Linked DNA regions of Caenorhabditis elegans. The protein of the gene in region 3 purifies or fractionates together with the protein of the main gene of each other region. This does not show direct contact. Each region holds a gene or a part of one and is shown on either strand. Other genes may lie near its edges.

Evidence for each region.
Region 1: the proteins of F26D2.15 (region 3) and wrt-2 fractionate together in Caenorhabditis elegans (co-fractionation; one large-scale study listed by BioGRID). This does not show direct contact.
Region 2: the proteins of F26D2.15 (region 3) and ensa-1 fractionate together in Caenorhabditis elegans (co-fractionation; one large-scale study listed by BioGRID). This does not show direct contact.
Region 4: the proteins of F26D2.15 (region 3) and smg-1 fractionate together in Caenorhabditis elegans (co-fractionation; one large-scale study listed by BioGRID). This does not show direct contact.

What each region holds. Positions count from the first base shown.
Region 1 is NC_003284.9:3,091,292-3,096,871, forward strand, and holds wrt-2 (WaRThog (hedgehog-like family)), read right to left. Parts: upstream 3,059-5,580; 5' UTR 3,006-3,058; coding exon 2,916-3,005; intron 2,831-2,915; coding exon 2,639-2,830; intron 2,589-2,638; coding exon 2,493-2,588; intron 2,435-2,492; coding exon 2,271-2,434; intron 2,222-2,270; coding exon 2,146-2,221; intron 2,069-2,145; coding exon 1,819-2,068; intron 1,771-1,818; coding exon 1,666-1,770; intron 1,615-1,665; coding exon 1,223-1,614; 3' UTR 1,104-1,222; downstream 1-1,103. Other genes in the region: pccb-1 (Propionyl-CoA carboxylase beta chain, mitochondrial), read left to right, coding at 1-442, 496-920; sec-3 (Exocyst complex component 1), read right to left, coding at 4,380-4,631, 4,681-4,779, 5,231-5,355, 5,404-5,580.
Region 2 is NC_003279.8:9,848,660-9,854,151, reverse strand, and holds ensa-1 (mRNA stability protein), read left to right. Parts: upstream 1-2,360; 5' UTR 2,361-2,430; coding exon 2,431-2,598; intron 2,599-2,739; coding exon 2,740-2,967; intron 2,968-3,018; coding exon 3,019-3,108; intron 3,109-3,474; coding exon 3,475-3,513; 3' UTR 3,514-4,154; downstream 4,155-5,492. Other genes in the region: Zwei Ig domain protein zig-1, read right to left, coding at 4,291-4,403, 4,917-5,078, 5,129-5,213, 5,409-5,492.
Region 3 is NC_003283.11:16,435,303-16,440,497, forward strand, and holds F26D2.15 (DeHydrogenases, Short chain), read left to right. Parts: upstream 1-2,543; coding exon 2,544-2,580; intron 2,581-2,742; coding exon 2,743-3,170; intron 3,171-3,213; coding exon 3,214-3,384; intron 3,385-3,428; coding exon 3,429-3,632; 3' UTR 3,633-3,770; downstream 3,771-5,195. Other genes in the region: F26D2.13 (ShKT domain-containing protein), read right to left, coding at 1-157, 201-308; F26D2.14 (ShKT domain-containing protein), read left to right, coding at 553-660, 733-988, 1,034-1,434.
Region 4 is NC_003279.8:6,909,034-6,915,239, reverse strand, and holds the start of smg-1 (Serine/threonine-protein kinase smg-1), read left to right. Parts: upstream 1-1,688; coding exon 1,689-1,733; intron 1,734-1,780; coding exon 1,781-1,867; intron 1,868-1,921; coding exon 1,922-2,067; intron 2,068-2,113; coding exon 2,114-2,390; intron 2,391-2,433; coding exon 2,434-2,700; intron 2,701-2,985; coding exon 2,986-3,210; intron 3,211-3,600; coding exon 3,601-3,713; intron 3,714-3,792; coding exon 3,793-3,902; intron 3,903-3,949; coding exon 3,950-4,080; intron 4,081-4,149; coding exon 4,150-4,280; intron 4,281-4,324; coding exon 4,325-4,480; intron 4,481-4,538; coding exon 4,539-4,682; intron 4,683-5,170; coding exon 5,171-5,323; intron 5,324-6,018; coding exon 6,019-6,153; intron 6,154-6,192; coding exon 6,193-6,206. Other genes in the region: haps-1 (Essential protein Yae1 N-terminal domain-containing protein), read right to left, coding at 1-181.

The DNA.
Region 1 (5,580 bases), on a different chromosome or scaffold from region 3:
ACCTCTGGAGTCGCTCACGGTGCTTTCGACAACGATGTTGATGCGCTCATGAGCCTCAGAGAGCTTTTCAACTATCTTCCACTCTCCAACACTGATGCTGCTCCAATCCGTGCTGCTGAGGATCCATGGGACAGAGCTGTTCCATCTTTGGATACTGTTGTTCCATTGGAAAGCACTGCTGCCTACAACATGAAGGACGTTGTTCACGCTCTTGTCGACGAGGGAGATTTCTTCGAGATTATGCCAGACTACGCCAAGAACTTGGTCATTGGATTCGCCAGAATGAACGGACGCACTGTCGGAATTGTTGGAAACAATCCAAAGTTTGCTGCTGGATGCCTTGATATCAACTCTTCCGTGAAAGGAGCTCGTTTCGTCCGATTCTGCGATGCTTTCAACATCCCAATCATCACTTTGGTTGACGTTCCCGGTTTCTTGCCAGGTAAATTTTCCCGATTGAAAGTATTTCAAATATTAAATCAAATATCTTTTCAGGAACTGCCCAAGAGTACGGAGGTATCATCCGTCACGGAGCCAAACTTCTCTACGCTTTTGCCGAGGCCACCGTTCCAAAGATTACCATCATTACTCGCAAAGCCTTCGGAGGAGCTTACGATGTCATGTCATCAAAGCATCTTCGTGGAGACATCAACTACGCCTGGCCAACTGCTGAGGTTGCTGTGATGGGAGCCAAGGGTGCAGTCTCCATTCTTTTCCGTAATGATAAGGAGCACGCCGTTCAACACGAGGAGGAATACACTGAGCTGTTCAGCAACCCGTTCCCAGCCGCTGTCAGAGGATTCGTCGACGACATTATCATTCCATCAGAGACCAGAAAGAAGGTGTGCGAGGATTTGAACATGCTTGAAAGCAAGAAGTTGAAGAACCCATGGAAGAAGCACGGAAACATTCCACTCTAAATTTCCAGCACTACCCACTCCGCCTTAATCCATACTATTATGTTGCCATTTCACCGGCCTGCTCGGTATTTGACGTGTTTACTTGTGAATTTTCATCCCACATACAAAATGCGCCATTTGCGTATTCCAATTGTTCGAGTATTATTTCCTTTTTCCGTTTTTTTGTTTTGTAAAGTCATAATTGAAAATTGTATTTATTACTGTTCTCAGATAAATAGTAGATTTTTGTGTTATTAGTACGAGCTTTCGAAATGGGACAAATGAAATCATATGTGATAATTGAGGCTAGCTAGTTGGCGCTTTTAGAGGACTCCGAAAAATTTGGCAACACTGGTTAGAATGGCACGCTGGACTGGTGGGATGACCTGCTCAACATCTTCTACGCTTGGAATTTGAAGCTTTGGAAGATCCTCAAGTTTTGGGAGGGTCATTGGTGGAAGTGTAGATGTCATTTGAACCGGCATTTGTGGAAGAGCACCAATTGGCATTTGTGGAACTCCTGCTGCTGCTGCTACTCCTGGCTGAGCGACAACTTGTGGAGCTTGGAACATCATTGGTTGTGGGAACTGTGGGAGTGGGGCAAATCCAAGTTGTTGCTGTGGCTGAGCTGGTTGCTGCTGTTGCTGTGGTTGTGCTTGTTGTTGCTGCTGCTGCTGCTGCATCTGTTGTTGTTGCTGCTGCTGGTTAGCATAAACTGGAAAATGGGATATATCTCATTGTGATTCTGAAATTAGGCGATGCTAACCTTGTTGCTGGAATGCTTGGTGCTGTTGTTGAAGCATTGCGGCAAATGGGTCTTGGTAGTATTGTGGCTGAGGTTGCTGTTGAGCATATTGTGGATATCCAGAATCTAAAACATGCAATCTATATTAACCATAATTGATTGTTCTATACTCACATTGTCCATTTTGTGCGACTCCGTACGCTTGTTGAGAAAATTGTCCGTAGTTTGTGGCTGGATTCACAACTCCCGGGTAAGCGACTTGAGCTGGCTGTTGGACTTGTTGTTGTTGTGGAGCATATGGTTGAATGTTAAGTGGAGCTCCCTGTTGTGGAACTGTGACTGATGGTTGGTGAGTGACAACAGAAGAAGCTGTTGGGGTGGTTGCTGGTTGTTCAACAACGGCGGCGGCCTCGACGATTGTGTTCTGAAATTACTCCAAATAAATAGTGTATCATCCAAATTAATCGGAAATATTTGAGCATTTGCCTGAAAAGTTCTCACTTCTCGTTTCTTGTTCTCCACAGCTTGCTCTTCGTCGAAGCATGGCATTCGCTTGATAGAAGCAACGTAAACAACGCTTAAATTGAATTAAATTGGTCTTAGTTTCGAGAGGGAATAAAACTCACGTTCCATTTTCGGAAACACTCTTGCTCAAATTCGAGATGTAATCAAAAGCAACAAGTCTAGAACCATCCAAAACCTCTCCTCCAACTACCAATTGTCCTTGCTTAACAATAGCGTTTCCGCGATCCTCTGCGCTGATAAGAACTTGATAACTGCAGCATTTCATCTAAACGATGTTTGGAAGATTAATTAAATTGTCATTTCACTTTTCATTTTCAACATACCTCCAGTTGGTCAGCGAATGGATCCGATTGTGGTGAAAGCCCTCCAACCCACTCTCCCTCCTCGCATGTTTTTGATTTGTATTCATCAGTGCAAATCTGAAACAAAGTACACCGTTTTTTTTTGCAAATACATATAAATGACAAACCGCAAGTTGTGGAACAAAGTTTGGATTTTTGCTTGGGCTCTTGATGAATTGATCGGATCTTCTGAGGTATCCATCATCCTTTCCAGCAACTCTATAGAATTGAGCAGTTTCTCCAGCTCTTGTTCCATTTGCAGTCCATCCGAAGCATTTTGGTCTTGCACACCCAAGAACAGGGTAGCCAGATCTTAGTACCTAAAGTGAACATTTAGTATATGTACAGTTACAAATCATGGGCTTTATTAGTTTTCTGTTCTTTAAAAATCAAGGAGTTGCTCACTTGGAAAGTGTATGGAATAGCTGATTGTCCACAGTAGGAGGCAAGGGCCACTGGCACTAAAGCCAAAAGGAATATGATCGGCGTATGCATCCGAGAAACAATTGGCAGGTTGATTGTCAATGAGAAGCGATTTGAACTACAATGAAAAGCTGGGCGTGGAAGGGACAATGGCCGTCTCGACAACGACAAGAAAATAAGGTCATCAAAATGTCTTTTTGCTGCTTTTCCTCTATATCTCCCGTATTGTTACGCGCGCGCGGATCGGTTGTCCCTCCTTCTCCTCTCCAGATTCCTCGAGATAAGGCAAGTGAAAGTCAGATCTACAACACCGGGAGTGAAGCCGTAGGGGGGGGGGGGGGGGGGCCCAAAAGGCATATTCTCGTATCGGTTTCTATCAGTGCAACACTTTCACTTGCCGTATGTTTGTCACCAATAATCCGGATCGCGAATCAGTTTTTTCGGTGGCTACCCAATTTTCATCAAGCTATTGTTTTATTCAAGAAAAATGGAATCGGTGTGGATCTAGCCATGCGGTTAACGGAAGACGATTTATGACCGGCTATTCCACGCGTATGTGGAGCTAGATTTGTAGCTTGTTTGAAATTCCTACACTATTCGAACAAGTTATGTTCATTTTACTTTACAGAGTCTGATAAGAATTGAAAACCAAGAATAAATAAACATCCCCCCTCCCCTAATTTTACTTTTTCTACGTTACCATGTTTAGTGGTTAGATCGGTTTATAATTCTCTTATAAACCTTCACAGTTACCTCTTAAAATGTTAAATTTTGTTCTGAAGTTTTCCAAAATAGATTGCGGCCTATCAATTTTACCTTTAAATCGAGTGATGAAAAAAAATGCGCTGTTAAAACAATTCTTACATGAAATAGTTTTAAATAAGATATAAGTACAGGGTGGTCCATAATTATGGACCACCCTGTATAAATGAGTCAAAAAATGTATATAAGAGTAAAATGTAAAACATAAAGTGAGATATAAACGGAATAACATTATAGAAGTTGTTTTTATTAGATTTAAATCGTGTTACACCCCTTTTTTATTAAAAGTTGCCAAAGTGTGTTCTTCAGAAAACACACCATTTGCATGTCAGATTCTTAAGTTGACCAGTTCAATGCAAACATTCAGTCAAAATTTCTACAAATGTGTAACCAAGAAGTCAGTTCCGTGAAATTTTTGTGAGCATTTGAAAATACGTGAAATAAAAGTCACCAAGCAAGACATTTATTTTTCAAAAAAGCAAGCATTACTACTATTTTCGAATGGGGAACACCCGTAAATTTATATTACAGACATCAGTAATGTAACGAAGTTCACCTATTACAGAATAGATAAATAAATATATTACAAAGCATGGTTCAGTAAGTATTAGAGTTCTGATAAATTAAAACTAAATTTTAAATGAATTAAAACAACAAAATTCAATAAAATTATTCGTCGTAATATTAGTGTTGTTGAGCAATTTCTGAGAAGAACTGAAGTACAGTGTCAGTGGAAACTTCGAGCTCAATCTTCGAGCCTGGGTAACAAGTGAGAATCAGTTTGTTGTATTCCGCAATTTGCTTGACAAATTGCTCTTGCATATCTCTCCATACAACTTGCAAAAGTGATGAATTGGCAACCAGGTTCTTCTCAATTTTCTTGTACAGTTGCTCGAGTCCTTTTTTCACTTCTTTTCCCGGATGTTGTGAAATTACCTGGAAAATTTATGAAATGGCGATTTTGATGATTAACTAGAAATTCAACCTTTTTAAGCTCAATGCGACTGAATTGTTGTTGATACGAGATTTCATCAGGACGAATTCCACGCGTTTCGATAAAGTTGTTGACATTGTCGAAGAACGTCTGAAATTTTTGGAATACATATCGATAGTTTTGGGAGATTTTTGTTTAAAGGTGGAGTACCGAAATTCGAATGAGATGTTTTGAAAATTCCTCAAAAAAAGTTATGGAGGTTCAAAGTCGGAAAAAAGGTTTTGCAGCTAAAATCACAATTTTTACAACTTCTCGGTGTCGCAGCGTCTGGAACTTAATTTTTATTTATTGATCACTCTTTAATAAATTTGTTGGTCTTTTATTGGGCGTATATGCGCTGAATTGTTGGGTCTAAAATAGCAAAGCCTCAAATTTTGGTACTCCAACTTTAAACTATGGTAGAGTGCCTTTTTTTACAAATGTTGTAGAATGACAAGCCAAAATTAGAAAGAAAAAACTAGTTTAAAGCATAATAGTCAAGTTTTTTTTCAAGCATTGGCAGCACAGTATTGAAACATAAATTTCCATATTTATATATCACCTGAATCTCTTTGAGTGGACGACCCATAAACTCTTTTACGTACGCATCAATATGTTCTTCCTTGAGCGCTTTCGCATCTTTTCGTTGTTGATCCAAACATGAGATTTTTAGCTCCGACAAAGTCACTGAAACATTTATCACCATCACACTTTATTGTTTCCTAGAACACTTACAATAGAGCTCGTGGTAATTTTCAAACTTGACTACAGACGACGGAGACTTGCTGTATTGATTGGCGGCAGCTTTTTGTATCCCGTCACAAACCGCCCGGCAAAGATTGAAATATGCCTTCTCCAAGTCAGTTCTTCTCTCGGCATTTTCAAAGATAATTTCAGCACGTCTCACAAAGT
Region 2 (5,492 bases), on a different chromosome or scaffold from region 3:
AAGAATTTCAGTGTGTTTGGCCGGTGTGTTGTCCCTTTTCTTCTCCTTCTTCTTCCTTGGGGACCGGCTGGCCGCCGTGTCGACTCAATTCAGTTGGCCGGACGGTCGCTTGACGGCCACCGCGGCTTCTTTTTCCCTCGTCTCTCCGGCGTTCGTTTAATGTCTTTACGAAGTGAAGCAAGCATGTCTGCGCATGTTTCAAAGTAAATGCTTCATCGTTTGCTTGTTATCTCTCACTGTCGCCGTCTCTCTTTCTTTCTTCTCACACCGGGGCTAGAGGCCTGAGTGCCCGCGCCATGCCGTTCGATACTAGACATGACACACGAATCGATACTTTATAGTTTTTAGAGGGTTTGAGTTTATTTTTACTAGACTAGTAATTATTTCTTTGTTTCGTTAAGCTAAAATAACTTTTTTTTAAATACCTGATGTTTTTGTTGTTGATTCGCTCCGCATTTTTGAACGCCCGATCGTCTTGCCGTTTGCGCTGTTCTAAAAAATAAATGTATTTAAGCTAATAAATTTAATATTTATCATTAAATCATAAGAAAACATTCAAAGAATTAGAAAAATAAAGTTTGTTCGATTTTACAATCTGTTTTCGAAACAAAAATGTTCCCGTAAACACTGACGAGCTTTAAAGGGACATTGCTCCCCACCGTAGTTTCTGCATTACTTCTGGCGCATCGTGGCGAGACCTTATCAGTTAATTTTGAAAATCCTACGCATTTCGCTTTGTTTTTCTTCTGAATTCTCATGTTTCTCAAGTTTTCGCCAATTAAAATTTCAACTTTTTATTTATATATTAAAAATGTATTCAATTTTTGTTCGCAGAAAATTATTGCTGTAGGAAAACTACTTTACAAACTCTTATCTAGGCGTTCAAACATTTATTTTTCAAAAAATGTTGTTTATATTCCGCTTATCACATAACTATTTCATATTGATTGATAACCGTCCTGTCGTCACTGATTCTTCCTTTCTCCCACGTGCTCGAACCGAAGAACTCTTGAGACATTGAGTGCAAATAGCGCTTTTCTCTTTCTCTCTCTTCTCAGTCGATATCCTATTTATTTATCAGTGGGACGGACTGAAGACTATCCCAATTATTATCTATTTAATATTATCTGTTCCATTCATCTTATTTTTAATAGAACCGTTTTAGTTTTCGTCAAAATTCATTTTATTGACTATGAGTCATTCCATTCCACATTTTGTTTTTCTCGTATGTCATTCCTTTTATTTCAAGGCTTGTGATCTTAATGGAATAATACTGAACATCGTCCATATAATCCCCTGCTAATACGTGACAATTGACCCACAAAAACTCAATAGCAATCCTCGTCCCGTCTCTGCTCCAAGCTCATTTGCTTTTTTCTGCTCATTATCGAACCGGGGCAGGCGCCGTCGCACGCATACATGTCCATGCTGCTCGTGCAATGCGCCTCGTCTTTTCTGGCTTTCTCGCCCCGAGCAACAACATTTCGCTTCGTCTTATTCTATAGAAAAAGTGTGACTGCTTGCCACTTTGTGGATTTATCCATAGCATCTTCCACTCTTCATTCCCATTGACGTATATAATATATCTACCGGATTAGGTGCTATGGAAACGGCGGTGATCCTCGACATAGCCCTCATCGCTCTTCTTCTTTTCGCCCATTTCAACACAATAATATCTCATGACACACATGTCAGTCTCATTTATTTTTAGGAAACTTGTCTTGTCTATACAACCAGCCTTATCACTTAAGTGTGCATTCACTCTTAACTGATCACTCAACCGAACTGTACGATGTTTTTCTTTTTTCTTATTGATTTTATCTCACACTTCCATTCGTCCCATGTTGTTTTCAAGTAATATGAGAAAAATGCAGCTTGGAATTATTAATAGGTTTTTTTCCTCCTTTTTTCTCTCTCCCTTCCCCTATTGCTAGTGTTGTTTGGTTGTCACATGATGATGATGATGCCATAATAGCAAAATCTAGAGCGTCGAGAGTAGATAGTAATGCACATCAAATCTTTCCGTCTCAATTGAAAATTAATTCAAAACCCGTTAGAGAGAAACCGAGGAACACAAATTTAATGGTTTTTTTTCAGAATTTTCTTTCTGTAAAATGTCCAATCGACATGTCTATGACACAGTATTATTTTTGTTTTCAACATTTCCACTCTCGGACAACCTTCTCTCGTCTTCTATACATCTATGATCGACAGTATTAATTCACAATTCATTTTCATTGTAGTTATCTTTACATAATTTTTTTTCTCATTTTTGAACTCTCGACGGTTCGAACAAATTGAGTACATCGTTTTTATGTTTTGAATATCAATTTTTAAAATATATATTAAAATATTTACAGAACTCGGGTAGATCAACTAGACACTCTGTTGCCCTTTTCGACAGTTCTTCCCGAAACTCAAAAAATCAAAATGCGAGGAGAAGCCGGAGAGTTGGCCGTCAGCAGTGGTGAAATCGCGACCGGAGCCTTGTCACCAGAGAAACAGCAAGAGCAAGAGCTTATGGGCAAATTGGCGGCAACTGGTAAACTTCCTGCTCGACCGGCCAGTTCATTTTTGCAGAAGAAGTTGCAACAGAGGGTAGGTATTGTGCTCGGACGGTTATTGAGTCATAGTTTTTTTGTTGCTGCAGAGCATCAATAGTATGATTAAGACTGTAGCATTTTTAGAAGACAATTAGTCATATTTAAAAACAACAGAATGAAATCGATTATTTTCCAGAAATTTTTCGACTCTGGAGATTATGCAATGGACAAGTCGAAAGCTGGAACAGGATTGGGATCCAAACCGCATCCACTGGCCGGAGGACCTCCACCAGCAGCTCCCCCAGTTGTCGCGCAGAGAAGTCCTGCACCAGCAGCAACCACTCCGTCTCCATCTGCTTCTCCGATCTCACAGCAGACAAATCGGCCAAGTTCTGATAGAAATAGTGATGATGACAATCTGCAGGTGATTTTTCAATGATCGCTGCTGATCAGCACAAACGTTTTCTTTTTTCAGATTCCGCGTCCCGACACAGTTCCACAGCGAAAAGCTTCGATTATCAACCCAAGTGTGCACTGCAAACTGAGCCCAGCGCCGCATGTTCAGGTGAGAAAATTGGATATCAACAAAGCAAATATTGCGAGGATTCACGCATTTTTTTGCACTTTTTTGGGTGGTGGTGTTGCCTGATCTGACAGTCAAATAGAGACGCAGAACGCGTCCAATTAGGCTCTTTGGCGCGTTTTGTTAGGCGTAATCAGTGGTAGGCGAGAGGGAGAGAACTAAACTGGCGAAAAACAGAAAAAAAACCTTTGGTTTGAGCTATCTGACAGTCTGGTTTGTGTGCTTATTGGCAGAAAGGGCATTTGAAGCGCAAACAATAAAATGGGAAAGCTGATAATTGAGACACGTTTTCCTTTGAACGATGTTGCGAAAAGGGGATTTAAATTTTCCAAAAATGTTTATTTTCAGCATCACGATGCGGCTTCTCCAAACGCAACAAGCGAATAAGTCGATTTTCAAAGGAAGCTTCTTATGTATACACATCTTCTTCTGAAAATTGTTCATCTCTCGTTTCATCCTCAACATATTGTGCACAGTATTTTATCAATCACTTTGGAGTTTGGAATTCAAATGTAATCCCTTCCAATTTTCCCTCCTAATTTTTCAGTTTTATCCTATTATTTTATACTTTTTATCCGTTTTACCCTTTTCCCGCGAAAATCGCAAACCAATCCAATCATAATCATCATCATGAAAAGGCTGTTTCTTGCTATTTCTTTCTCTCTCATAAGTCACATTGAAAGCACATTTTCCATTCTCTCAACACCTTCCCAACCTATTTCTGTTCCCTTTTCTATCAGTTGCTGTCAGCTATCGTTTCCAAACAGGTATTCAATATACACAACCACTGTTCTGTCGATCCGCACAACAATTCTCTCTAAGTTTTACATCAATTGTTCTTTAAAAACTCTGAAAATGATGTTCTGTAGTTAGCCTCTTTTCAAACACTTTCCCGATTTCTCTTCTTTTTTCTGGTCTGTCCCATTCTCAATTTCCTCCTAAAACCTTTTTTGGAACTTTATTGTATTTAACGAAACATTGAACAAAAAAAACATGCAGAGGCAAATAAGGCGTTTGAGGTATCAAATATGAAATTTAAAAGAATAGAGCAATACTATAGGTATAATTTGTTAGGAAGGCTGTACTTACACCGTAAAGTTGAGTTTAAAAAAGTATTCAAAAAGATGTTTCAGGCCTAGAAAATAAGGATTCCAATTACAGATTTTAGGCTTTGGATGTGGATTTCTTGTTTCTCCATTCACAGAAAACAATGATTACGACCAGCAAAAAGATGGTTATCAAGATAACAGCAAGTGGGTACACCCATTGGAATTCACCTGAAAATTGAAATAAAAACGATCAGAAATCGGAGAAATTGGAAAATACATCAAGATGTAGAAACCTATTTGGAATTCAAACTGTTTTCAAATTCGGCGTGTACCCCTCTCGGACAAAAAAATGGGTTTTTAAATGTTTGACAATGTTTCGTATTTTTAATAATTTTACATTATTTCTTCTTTTATTTAATTGCAGTGAAGACGATTAAAAATCTATGAATTAATCAAACATCCCATCAATAAAATGTTTTTAAAAAGCAACAATTCTCAGTTTTCTGAAAAAATCAATTCGAAACCTAGTAATTCTGTTCTGTTGCTCAGAAAAATCCCAGGAAAATACAAAATATCAAAACATTAATTATTTTATAGTCCAAGAGGAGTACACGGGAAATTAAACCCATTTGCGCGCGAATTTGAAAATAGATATGTAGACGAAGGTGCGGATTTTCGGCTCTTCGAACTTTCTAAGAGGCTTTTTTGAAATTTTTTTCAGAAAAGAATATGTAAACTCACTTCTAACATCAACCATTTTATCAACGACCAATAACATTTTACTTGTTTTTCCATTTACAGTATACTCATTTACAGCTTCACATGAATATGTTCCAGCATCTGTGTAATTAGCATTTGTAACAATTACAGTACTTCCTTCCATTGAAACTGATTGACTGAGAGCTGAAATTTCATCAGGTGAGAAACAAAAAAAAGATTTGAATATGATTTACCAAGTGGGGCAGAATCTTTTGTCCATTTGACAACTGGTTTCGGGTATCCTGTTACTGGACAAGTCAATGTCACTGATTCTCCTTTCTGGAAAAAAGTTTTTGAAATGATTACTGTAATTGTTTTGTATTTTTAGAAAATATTTATTTTGTATTACTTTAAAACGATTTTTTTAATTCAAAAGAACCCAAATTTTTTGAGGTTTATTAAAGGTAGCTTCAGGAGCAAAATCTTTTTTCACGCTTCACCAAAAAGTGGGAAAACCACAAAAAATGTGCATACCTCAACAGTAGTTCCAGTGCTTTCCAAATGGAATTCATGTCCTTCGTGCTCAGTAAAATGTTCGTGAGAATGTACAACAGGTCT
Region 3 (5,195 bases):
TACCTTGATCATTCGGTCTTGCCGTACCATCTGAGAAGCATGAGGCGGGGCGAGCATCGCTGGTTCCAGCTATAACGATAGTTGTGCCATACCAACGTCTGCAAGAAACATCTGAGATAACGTTGTCGCAGGCGGTCGCTGAAGGCGTGTAGATAAACTGAAAGTCGGTTGAACCGGTCTTGTTAAAGATCGAAACTCACATCACCTAGAGTAGAATCGTATGTCGTACAGTTGAGCTGAAGGCCAATAGCTGCTTGAGAACCGCTTGTAAAAATTACAGAAACGACAAAAAATGTCAGAAAATGCATTTAAAATTGATCGATTGAACTGGTCACTCTGTTTTTATATCAACGAATTATTGGATTTGTTTATTCAGATGGTTTGTTAGAAATCATTGCTAAAAGCATTGTGGTCATTAGACAAAAGATTGTTTAACATCTGTATATTCCTAAAACATTACAAATTACAATAAAAACGTGAAACATCTAAACAAACAAAACATATGTAAGCTGATATAAAAGGCGATTGTACGGTACAATCTGACCAGCTTCGATGTATATTATTAAAAACCTATGTATTTTTATTTGCATGATCTCGGGTGTCAAGTTGGAAGTCGGCCCAGACTTTAACTGCACTAGATATGACTCCACATTGGGCGACGTAAGTGACAGAAAATTTTTAAGGAAAAGAATATCTGAAAACTGATTTGTGTTCATTAAATATTTCATTTAGCATGTCTGGTTACCATCCGCTGTTGCCTGCGACAACGTTTACCCGGATTATGTTTGCCAAAATCTCATGTTAGCTGGGCCTCCACCTCGTGTGGGGATCAGTGAAATCCGCACCTACAGGTGCTGGAGCGAATTACCAAATCCAGTACCCCCTTATTCGGCTCATCCGGATGTCATCAGAGATGCTGCATTAGCATGCCCGAAGACTTGTGCACTTTGCTGTATGACTAGTGCCTATAACTGCCGAAATGCTGAGTGTGAGTCACAACCAAATTTCTGTACATACACCAACTTTCTTACAGTTCCCCGGCTCAACTGTGCCACCATCGTTCCTGCTCAGTGTAGAGATCAACGCTGGCGAACAATAATTGCACAAGATTGCCCATCGGCTTGCGGATTCTGTAATCTTGGAGGATGTGTAGACGCAGTGGCTGACTGTGCAAATGACCCCTCAATCTGTAACTCGATTGGAATGCAGGTCTTCGTGAACCAGAACTGCCAACGGACATGCTCCAGGTGTCCATCTTCCACCAGTGCTCGAATTTCTTCCTCGACAACTTCTATCACTTCCACTTGTAGCTCGTACAACCCAGATTCCAGTTCTTCGTGTGCTGCGTGGGCGGCCAATGGCTTTTGCACTAACACCCACTATACGGTAGCAAGACGAAAAGCAACATGCGCAACTACTTGCAGAATTTGTTAACTATTATATTCAGTGCATTGATTATTTATTTATAGGAGCAAAAAAGATATTTAATTTTATTAAACTTCACATTTTGAAGCAATTAGTAATACATACATCCCTCTTTTTTTGCAAAATGTAATGGCCATTGTTGTACATGTTTGTTCAGGTTTGATTGTGAGCTTGTTTGAGTCCGAAGACCCATTGTCATGTGATGTGCAGAATTTGTATCTACTCTGAACATTGAAAGTGGATTAGCGCCAGTGGAGAAGAAAAAACTACTCTTATGATGTCAAAATAACCGAATATCATAATAATTTTTTAATTTACTGTCAAAAAAATGACAATTACTCAGTTTCTGCCACTCATAAATTTGAAAATCCACAAAAAAAACTGTTTTCCCACATTTTTAAACGTTCATAATATTTTAATTATTTATGTTTAAACATTGTAGGGGTCGGAACATGTGACATTGCTTTGGATTTCCTCAAAAGCTCATATTTTTCAAAAATTTGGCAAATTGCCAAAACTAAATTATAAAAAAATATAAACTTTCTCGGAGTGTTTTATTGTGATGCTCGGTCGTTTTAGATTATTATAAATGTATTTAGACAAAATACCCACTGGCGCTGCTCCACCTTTGATGGTACGACCCGTATTTAAAGAGAGCACATCGCCAATGGGGTAATTACGGGAAAATGAAAATAAAAAACTTCTAAAAGTGTGACTTTCAAAAAATGTGACTGCTTTTCAAAACTTTCAAGTGTTCAAAATTTTTCAAATTCTAAGATTTTGTTTCTAATAGTAAGCAATTTTTTTTTCAATTTTTCCAAACTCCAAAATGTTTGTCTTGAAATATTTACAATTATTCTTGTCAAATTAGCTTCTTTTTTCTAGAACTTCAATTTTTGTGTCTGGGAGAGTATTTAATTTCTTCATAAATCTTCCAGCATAATACGTTGTGTTTCCTCCTCCTCTTTGCCTATACACAACAAGCACAAGTCTCCGATATTTTGTGTCCTCTTCTACCGTCTGCGTCTCTTGTACCATCAATGTCACAGTTTCGGGGTGGGTATATAAACATACTCACCCAATAATTTACATGTCACAATTTCGAGAGATTGCTCATTATGGCTCGTTTTTCTGGAAAAGTTGCTCTGATCACAGGTGAGTAAGACTTTACTTTATTTTTTGAAAGAAATCTCATCCTTAAAAACATCTTTAATGTCAAGACAAAGGCTTTAATGTCAAGATTGTGCTCATTGGTTCAATTTTGTCAAACAAAAGGCTTAGAATTTCAATTTCAAAACTCATGAATGTTTTTCTTAGGATCTTCCAACGGAATTGGCCGTGCCGCCGCTATCCTCTTTGCTCAACAAGGGGCCAAAGTTACCATAACCGGAAGGAATGCTGAGCGGCTGAAGGAAACCCGACACGAAATAAAAAAATCTGGAATCCCGGCAGAAAATATTCTTGCGATTGTAGCCGACGTGATCACAGATGAAGGACAGATGAGGCTTATCAACGATACTGTTCGAAAATTTGGTCACCTTGACATTTTGGTGAACAATGCCGGAGGAGCATTGATGGATGCTCAGGGGCGTGTTGGAATGGATCAGGATATTTCGGTGTTCGATAACACTATGCAGATCAATATGAGAAGTGTGGTTACTTTGGTGCAAAAGGCCAAGGAGCATTTGATCAAATCAAAGGGAGAAATCATTAATGTTTCTGCCATGGCAGCAGGACACCATGGGGTAAGTTTACGCTGGAACTAAACTTTAATTCAACTTTCCACAGGACCCCATAGCAACTTTCTACGGAATGTCCAAGGCAGCTCTTGATCAGTTCACTAGAAGCTCTGCGATTTCTCTGATCCAACACGGAGTCCGCGTGAACTCCGTCAGTCCTGGATTTACTAAGACAGGATTCGGAGAAGCCATGGGATTTCCACCAATAGCGATGAAAAAGGTAAACCTTATATTGTGATCTTTTTAAAATATTTATTAAACCAGGTCATAAGCTTCTACGAATCCCACAAGGAGTGTGCTCCGAGTGGTGCAATTGCTCAACCTGGAGACATTGCTCAAGTCATTCTATTCTTGGCGGATAGAACCATGTCCTCATACATCATCGGACAATCAATCATAGCTGACGGAGGATCCTCGTTGGTGATGGGAATGCACGCTCATGATATGCTTGACATTTTGAAGGCATGAATTGGGGAGGCGTTCTTCTCCTTTTTTGTTGATAAATCACTGAACACGTAAAAAATAACTTTTTTCAAAATAACTTCTTTCCTCTCTTTTTTTGTTTGACACATTTTTAAAGTTTTATATATCTCCTATTTTCGTATTTTCAAATAAATATTTTTTCTCGAATAACAACTTTTTGAAAATTCCGAAAATTCTGGAATTTTCTGGAACCGTTTGGAAAATTTGGAAAATTCTGAAATGATCCAAAATATCTAGAACGTTCTGAAACTTTCTGAAAAATTCAAGAAAACTTTGGGATGTTCTAGAACATTTCGGAAAATTCCAAAATTTTTGAATTTTCTGGAACCTTCTAAAAAGTTTAAGAAAATAGTGACTGACATGAAGTGAAAACTTCCGAAAAATTCGATGAAATTGTGGAATCTCTTGAAACGTTGTGGAATTTTCTGAAACCTCCACGGCAATTCAAGCAGTTTCAAGAACAAAACTGTTAGTTGTTTAAGAAAAACGGAAACCATGCAAATTCCGTCAAACAACATTAGTAAAACTTTTCTACTAAATAAAGATTTTAGAGCGCTATGTGTTGAACTACGTTATCATTTCTTCGTATTTTTCAATTAGTATCGCGCCCTCCAACAATCTTGTGTGGCTACGCCAATGTTTAAATCATATCTTCATTCAAAAACATTCCTCAATTAAGTTGAAGAGTTCGAAACAGTTCTAATACACAAGTTGAGCTTATCCAGTTCTGAGACCAGTGACCTTCGCTTCCGAACGAACCAATTTTGGAGCTTTACCACAGATGTAGAGCATCGTTTCATATGCATTGCCACCTGTCAGCGGGCTGAAATAAAACTTTTATTAAGCTTTATTCATTGTATTAACCTACTGAATATGTAGCGGACGAGAATTTGATCTTATGGAAACGTATTGATTGGGTAGCGATGTATAGGATTGAAAATCAGTCATATAATCAGTGTTTGAAGCAACACCATTTTCCCAACTTGCTGTCCGAGTTTTCCCTAGTCCAGCGTCGCAATCAGTCTCACATGGTGCTCTTCCTCCGGTGAAGTAATGATTATCTGCTGCATTTTTGGGTTCGTTCACTGAAAACAATTACTTTTTTTCAAAAAGTCAGAAGCAAATTGCTTTAAGAGACGCCCATGGTATTACAAACACCAAATATCATACAAAAAACCATTATCTTACTTAAAGCTCTCACTGCATCCAATTCAGCTTGCGAATCGAATCCAGACAATGCCGCACCAATACTGCTGCAACGATCTATTGCGTTAGTGTATGCAAGTGGTTGGTCAAAGTTCAACTGAATATTTTAATGAGTTTTGAAAGACTTTTTAACTTTTAACTTACGTAGTGACAGAACTGTGTTTGACCCGTCCGGTTGTATACCAACATTACGTTAGCCCATGCTGGCTTTTCATCACAGCCCGCGTACGACCAACTGAATGAGTCTGAAAAATTGTCTAAAATTATTTGACGATGTTGTTTGTTAACTAACGCATTGCACAAATACCAGGAGCTCGCATTGCAGCCATTGTAGCATACCGT
Region 4 (6,206 bases), on a different chromosome or scaffold from region 3:
TTCCCTCTGCAGCGCCTCTGAAATTTCTCCAAGAGGAGTCCGAATAGAGACGAGCCACAGCTTGAGCACATCCTTCAAAGTCATTCCACAGCTTATCGTTTTCCGTCAGATCCTCAGTACAATCACAACGACGGTGGGCACCGCCAGTTCTCGAAGAACAGCTCGAGTGATGATTCGACATATTATGCGAACTGAAAACATTAACATAATTTTTTATTAAAAGAAAGAACTGTCGGAAATCAAGTTCGAGAATATTAGAAAAAAAACGGGGAATTTTAAATGTTATAATTAATGTTTTCAACAAAGATTAGGCAATCGCGTGAGCAAGGTTTCATTCAACAAAACGAATATCGATTAGCTACACAATCTCATCAGTCTTTCAATTGCATGGGAGTTATGCTCCCCGAGCAAGTTCTAAGCGACTAATTTATCGATTTCTGGGTGAACATCAGCATCAGATGACGAAATAATTACAGAATAAAGATAGTTAGATGGAGAGAGTGAGAAAGATTGGAAAACGATTGGGTGCGTCCGGTCAAGAAATTGAGAGGAGAAGTTATCTTAAAGATGAAATGAAAAGATAGAAATGAAGGATTTATTGGTAAATTTGCAAGATTTGAGGTAAAAAATGAGTTATGGAAAATTTAAAACCAATTTTTCAAGGATGAGCAGTTGAAATATGAATGACTCATTACGAATACACTAGAGAAAAAGCTAATCGGGGAAATAAATGGCTGGGAAATTAATAATGTTTAAAAAACAGCTCTTGTAAAACTATTTTGTATTCAGAGTATGAAAGCAGGGCATAAAAGATAACTAAAAACATGAACGATTGGCGTCGAATCATTGCGAAAAACGTGGGTATACAGAGGCCGTTATTCGAGGTTTTCAGAATTATCAATTGAGATTCAATTGCATGTTTTCATAAAAACCGACAGGAATAAGCCATTTCTTCCGATTTTTTTTTCGAAATTTTGCGAAAATCGATGGGGAAACAATGAAAAAAGTGTCTGAAACGGGCAGAAAATGAGGAAAAGAGAGTAAAGAGAGAGAGCGGCCGAAACAAAACATTCGATTAGCAATGGAGCATGTTTGCTGACTCATGTGTCGACAGTTTAAATGCTTTTTGATCATCTGTTTATGAAGTTTTTCAACATTTTTATTGATTTTCAGAACTGGAGATTTTATTGCTATTTTTTAAGAACATAAAATCTAATTTTTTAGTGTGAGAAAGTTCTTTTAAAAGTATTAAAACAAAAGAAAAGCAACACGAGTACTGTATTAAAGGCGCATACCAAAAATCATGAGTCCGGTCTCACGAAGCGTTTGCACCACAATTAAAAGTGCCATTATCGATAGTTATCTTCTCAAATTAAAATTTGTTTCGTCTTTCCGGGTGCAAATCTATTTAAGCTTGAATTTTCATTAAATCACAATGTTTTATTTGCTTAAAACATTTTAACGTGACATTTTCATTTTCAAAGCTAAGTTTCCTTTTTTATTTATTTCTGACACGTGACGATGCTAGTCCGGCCGAGAAAAATGTTTAAAATCCTTAAACGGCCCGACACATTAAGGTATTTTGTTCTCGTTTATTCAATTTTCCCGATATTTGTATTCGTTTCTCAGGCTTTTTTCCTGTTTCAACTTTTATTTTCAGCCTATGCAACCTTCCGTGCGATCAAAAAATGATAACATCGAGAAACAATGATATTGGGAACCTGATAGAACAGGTAAATGTGATAAACGGAGAAAAGTATTTATTGTTAATCAAATTAAGTTTCGTCAACGTGACACGCCACAGAAGGAACGGAAAGCGATTCTCGCTAGAATCGAGGAGATTCTTCAAACTACGAAAAATGTAGAGGTTTGTTTTCCCTTCGGAAGCATTACGGAAAACCAAGAAATTATTATTTTACAGAGTCTTTGTGTAAAATGGACTTATCTTTTGGATAACTTGTGTTGGCCTAGTCTCACAAAACACGATCGGAATGACATGAAAACGCTGGCTGGAAAAGTGATACGACTTGTTGGAGTTTTACTCTTTGATACTGAATCCTATCCAGAGTTTGTGAATTTTGCCATTTGAAGATATAAAATAAAAATTTTTCAGGTTTCTGATTTATCTTGGAACATTATATCAAAGTGTTACGAAGAAAAGTGAAGAAACACGTGCGGATATCGTGTTTTCAGTGTATTTCATCGTTGGAGTCATCAGTCAAAAAACGGAGAATCGTCTAATTGCTACCGACACTGAAAATGTCGAAAAATCATTAGACTGGATAATCAAAGTGCTTCCGAATTCATCAATATCAGTTTATAACCACTGTTTGAAAGGATTTGTACTTGTTGCAAACACATTTCCAAATGTTTATGCTGCAATGTTTGAGGTATTTTATTTGAAAAATAATAAAAAAATTTCGCTTTTTCCAGTCAACCCTCCGAGCAATTCTGACCAACCTTCCCGATTTCAACAGTCATGAAAAGAATTTTGAGCTTCTCATTGATACAGTGATGCGATTTTCTGATCAACTTAATGAGAAGCCTCATTTGGCAGAAGAAATGGTTCGAATTATTCGACCGGATATCAAAAAGAATGGATTGGGAAATATGAGAGAATTGAAGAAACGAATGAAACTGACAATGGCACTCGTGAAAATGGCGAAAAGTCAAAAAATGCTTGAGGAGACTAATCAGATGGTGAGAATATGATGAGGGAACACATTATTTGCTGAAATATCTGAAAATTTCAAAAATAAATTATCTAAAAAAGCTTTAGAAAGGCAAATTCTCAAAAAGTTGAAATATTTATTTTGTTATTTGTGAATAATAAGTTCCAAGGACTTAATTTTGTTCTTTAAAGTGTGATATTGATTTTATTCAATTCATCTTTATTTTAAAATTCAAGTTCGTGGACCAAAAACAGATTTTCCCAACAAAAAGTTAACAAACTGCTTATTATTCTTTTTATTCAATAAATTTCAGATTTCTGAAATGTCTATCGAACTCGAGGAAAACGGAGGAAAATGGTCATCAGCTTCACTTATAACTATCGTTTGTGATGTTTTCAATGAGCTCTTGATATTGGGAAAAGATGATGTAAAATTGCAAAAAGGAGTTGAAGAATCATTGTGCAATGTTCTGAAAGACTTGAATCTTTCTAATCAGAGTACTATGGAGAAACAAGCATTTTTCAATTCTCTTGCAAAGGTTTGGTTTTTTGCCACAAAAATATCCGAAATTAGAGTATTACCCGAAATTTGGCGCTGAAACTAAAACTACGGTACTTGGTCTCGACACGACAACTTTTTGCTAAATGCGAAACGGTGTGCGCCTATTATTACTGTACTTTTAAACCCTTGTTGCTGCGGAATATTGCTATTTTTAAACGTTTTTTTCACGATTTATTAAAATTTATTTGAAAAACTATGATAAAACTTTGATGCACTGAACGAGAATTTGAAACTACTGTAACCTGTAAAGGTGTACATCATTCTGCATTTCCCAAAAATGTTTCGTGTCGAGCGTAGGTGCTGTATTGTTGGCGCAAAATGTTGCGTCTGGGTAATACAAGCTGCTGGTGTATGTAATTGATTTCAGATTGTCAAACAACTTCCAGCAGAGTCACAAGTCAAAACTAGAGTTCATCAGATTGTTTTCAACACGGAAACTGGACTTTTCACACCCAAAAACCGCGATAATCGAATGTTTGGGTGAGAAAAAGTTTTTAAGTCGATGCTCTATCGTATCGGGGAGTACGATGTTTTTCAAAATCAATTTTTATAATTTCAGACATAATATGATATACAAGGATCTTATCAATCTTGTCTCTGTGCTTCTTACGCCTACATCACTCAATCATCTACAAGCGACATATACGGATTTGAGGAAAATAATGATAGGTTAACTTTAATTAAATCTGTGAATTCAATTGATTAATTATTTCCAGATAGCATGTCACGATTGAAGCAAAGTGAAGATACTCCGTATAGTGATAATATTCGATGGAATGAATCAATCCTTTTGCTTTTCTTTTCGTCACTTCAAAGTATATCATGTGCCAAGAGTTCTCTTATTGTGGTTTGTTTAAAAATAACAATTATTTTCGCAGAAAACAACGATTTTTAACAATTAAAGAACAAATTTTAGATGATGGGAATCCGTCCGTCAATTTTTGAATTCTTCTCATCGGAACTTCCACTCACAGAATATTGGCTTGCTTCAAATCATCCAGAAGTCTATCACCTATTTATCACAATATTTGTTGGACATTTGAAAGCGTGAGTATGACAGAATAAATACTTTAATAAATCAATTCTTTCAGTCACGACTTCTACATTGTTCAATCTGATTATATTGTTCGTGGTGATAGCATTGGACAAAGTATAGGACAAACGAAACGAGATTATGCACGGAAACAAGTTGTTGCTCTACAGAAAATTATCAACAATTTTGGAGACAAATTGTGGAAGAAGACTAGGTTTATTCTTGAGCATTCATTATATTTTATTTTCAATTTTTAATAAATTGTGATTCAGACTGATGATATCTTCATGGCTTCACTCTCTCATTGCAACTGCTTGTGAACATCAAATCGGAAGTGATAGTTTCAGTCAACGAGAATGGGTTCGATTAAGGAATACTGTCATTCATCAGTCGGTGCTCACATGGAATAATGAATGGTATACACTTGAATTGCTTGAATTTCTAGCAGTTTTCACATTTTCTCAATCATTTGTACCAAGCAACACTTGCTGGAAAATCAAAAAAAAATCAATTTTTAAAATATCCCGCTACGCGCCCAACATTGAAATATATAATTCCTGGGACTTCTTTTTGGAATTTTAATTAAAAATAATTATATTCCGTATTTTGATAATTTAAAATTCTTTCACTTATTTTTGAGAAGTTTGCATGTTGGATATCAACATACTAAATAGTTTTCTGGGAAGTGGCCAGGTTTTTCGGTTGTAGGAAAGACTTGTATTATATTGTTCATTGAAAACAAGTATATCAATAGTATTCTTTTCTGAATTGGCACTTATAAAAGTGAAATCGAGATGCTGAAAACTAGTTTCTTCTGTCAGTTTCAGTTTAGATTGATTATAGTTCTTTTCTCTCTATTCTCCTCATATTTTCTAAAAATTTGAACTAAGTTATATATTTTCAGTGTAAATCAAGCATTGACCATCCTCTCCACTGCTACAAAATGGTCAGAACTGACGTCAGACATCCATCGAGATATTGCGGATAAAACGAAAAAAGCAAAGTGGAAGGAGGCAACGACAATTTGGGAATCTGGAGATTGTAATACTTATATCAGGTATTGAAAAGAACTCTTTAAAATTATTTCAAGCTTTTCGATTTTATTCCACTATTTGATTCAAAAAAATGTTTGCACTCAATATGTTTCAAAGAGTGTTTATGTATTTATGACTATCGAAAAAAAAAAGAACTGAATGACGGATAATCGGTGTCTACATTCAGGCGGCGGTCACGTATACTCTAAACAATTTTGAATTATTTTTGACATTCTTTGTGAAGTTTTAAACCTGTAATTAGCTAAATCGAAATGATGAAAGACGGAAAACGCAAGATTTTATTTGAAAACTTTGTATAAAACTGGTATCTTTCACCCTCAAATCTGGTTATTTCAGTTTAAAAACTAGAGAGCATTAGCTCATTGAGCTCTGGTTCTTGTTTATTTATTTACTCGAATGAATAAAACAAGCGACTTTTATTGTTTTCATGCCTACTTGCACCTGCGTCTAACTAACTAACTATTAGGCGAGAGTTTCTGCATGAATTACACACTGGAAATTTGCCCAAAACAAACGTCACTCTACTTGACAGTCTATAGCTTGTTTTCATCGCCTGGAGGTGGAGTAGCGTGAATACGGATTTGCTTTAAAATATTTGAAACAGACTGAAATTCATAAGTACCAGACAAAAAACGAAAAAAAAAGTATTTCTTGTTTTTTATACAACTTCGTAAAAGTAAAATGATTTATTTTCCAGGCAATCCATGTCTACAGTCTATCAAATGTCACAGGAACGACAACAGAAGACAATTACATCGACAAGTTTTGGAGCCGAAGAGTTTATAATAATTACGAATTTCTTGTTGAAACAGGCAACACCAACTACTTTCAAGTGAGTTCATAATTAAAACCTTTCTACGTATAAATTGAGTTCCAGAAAAGGTC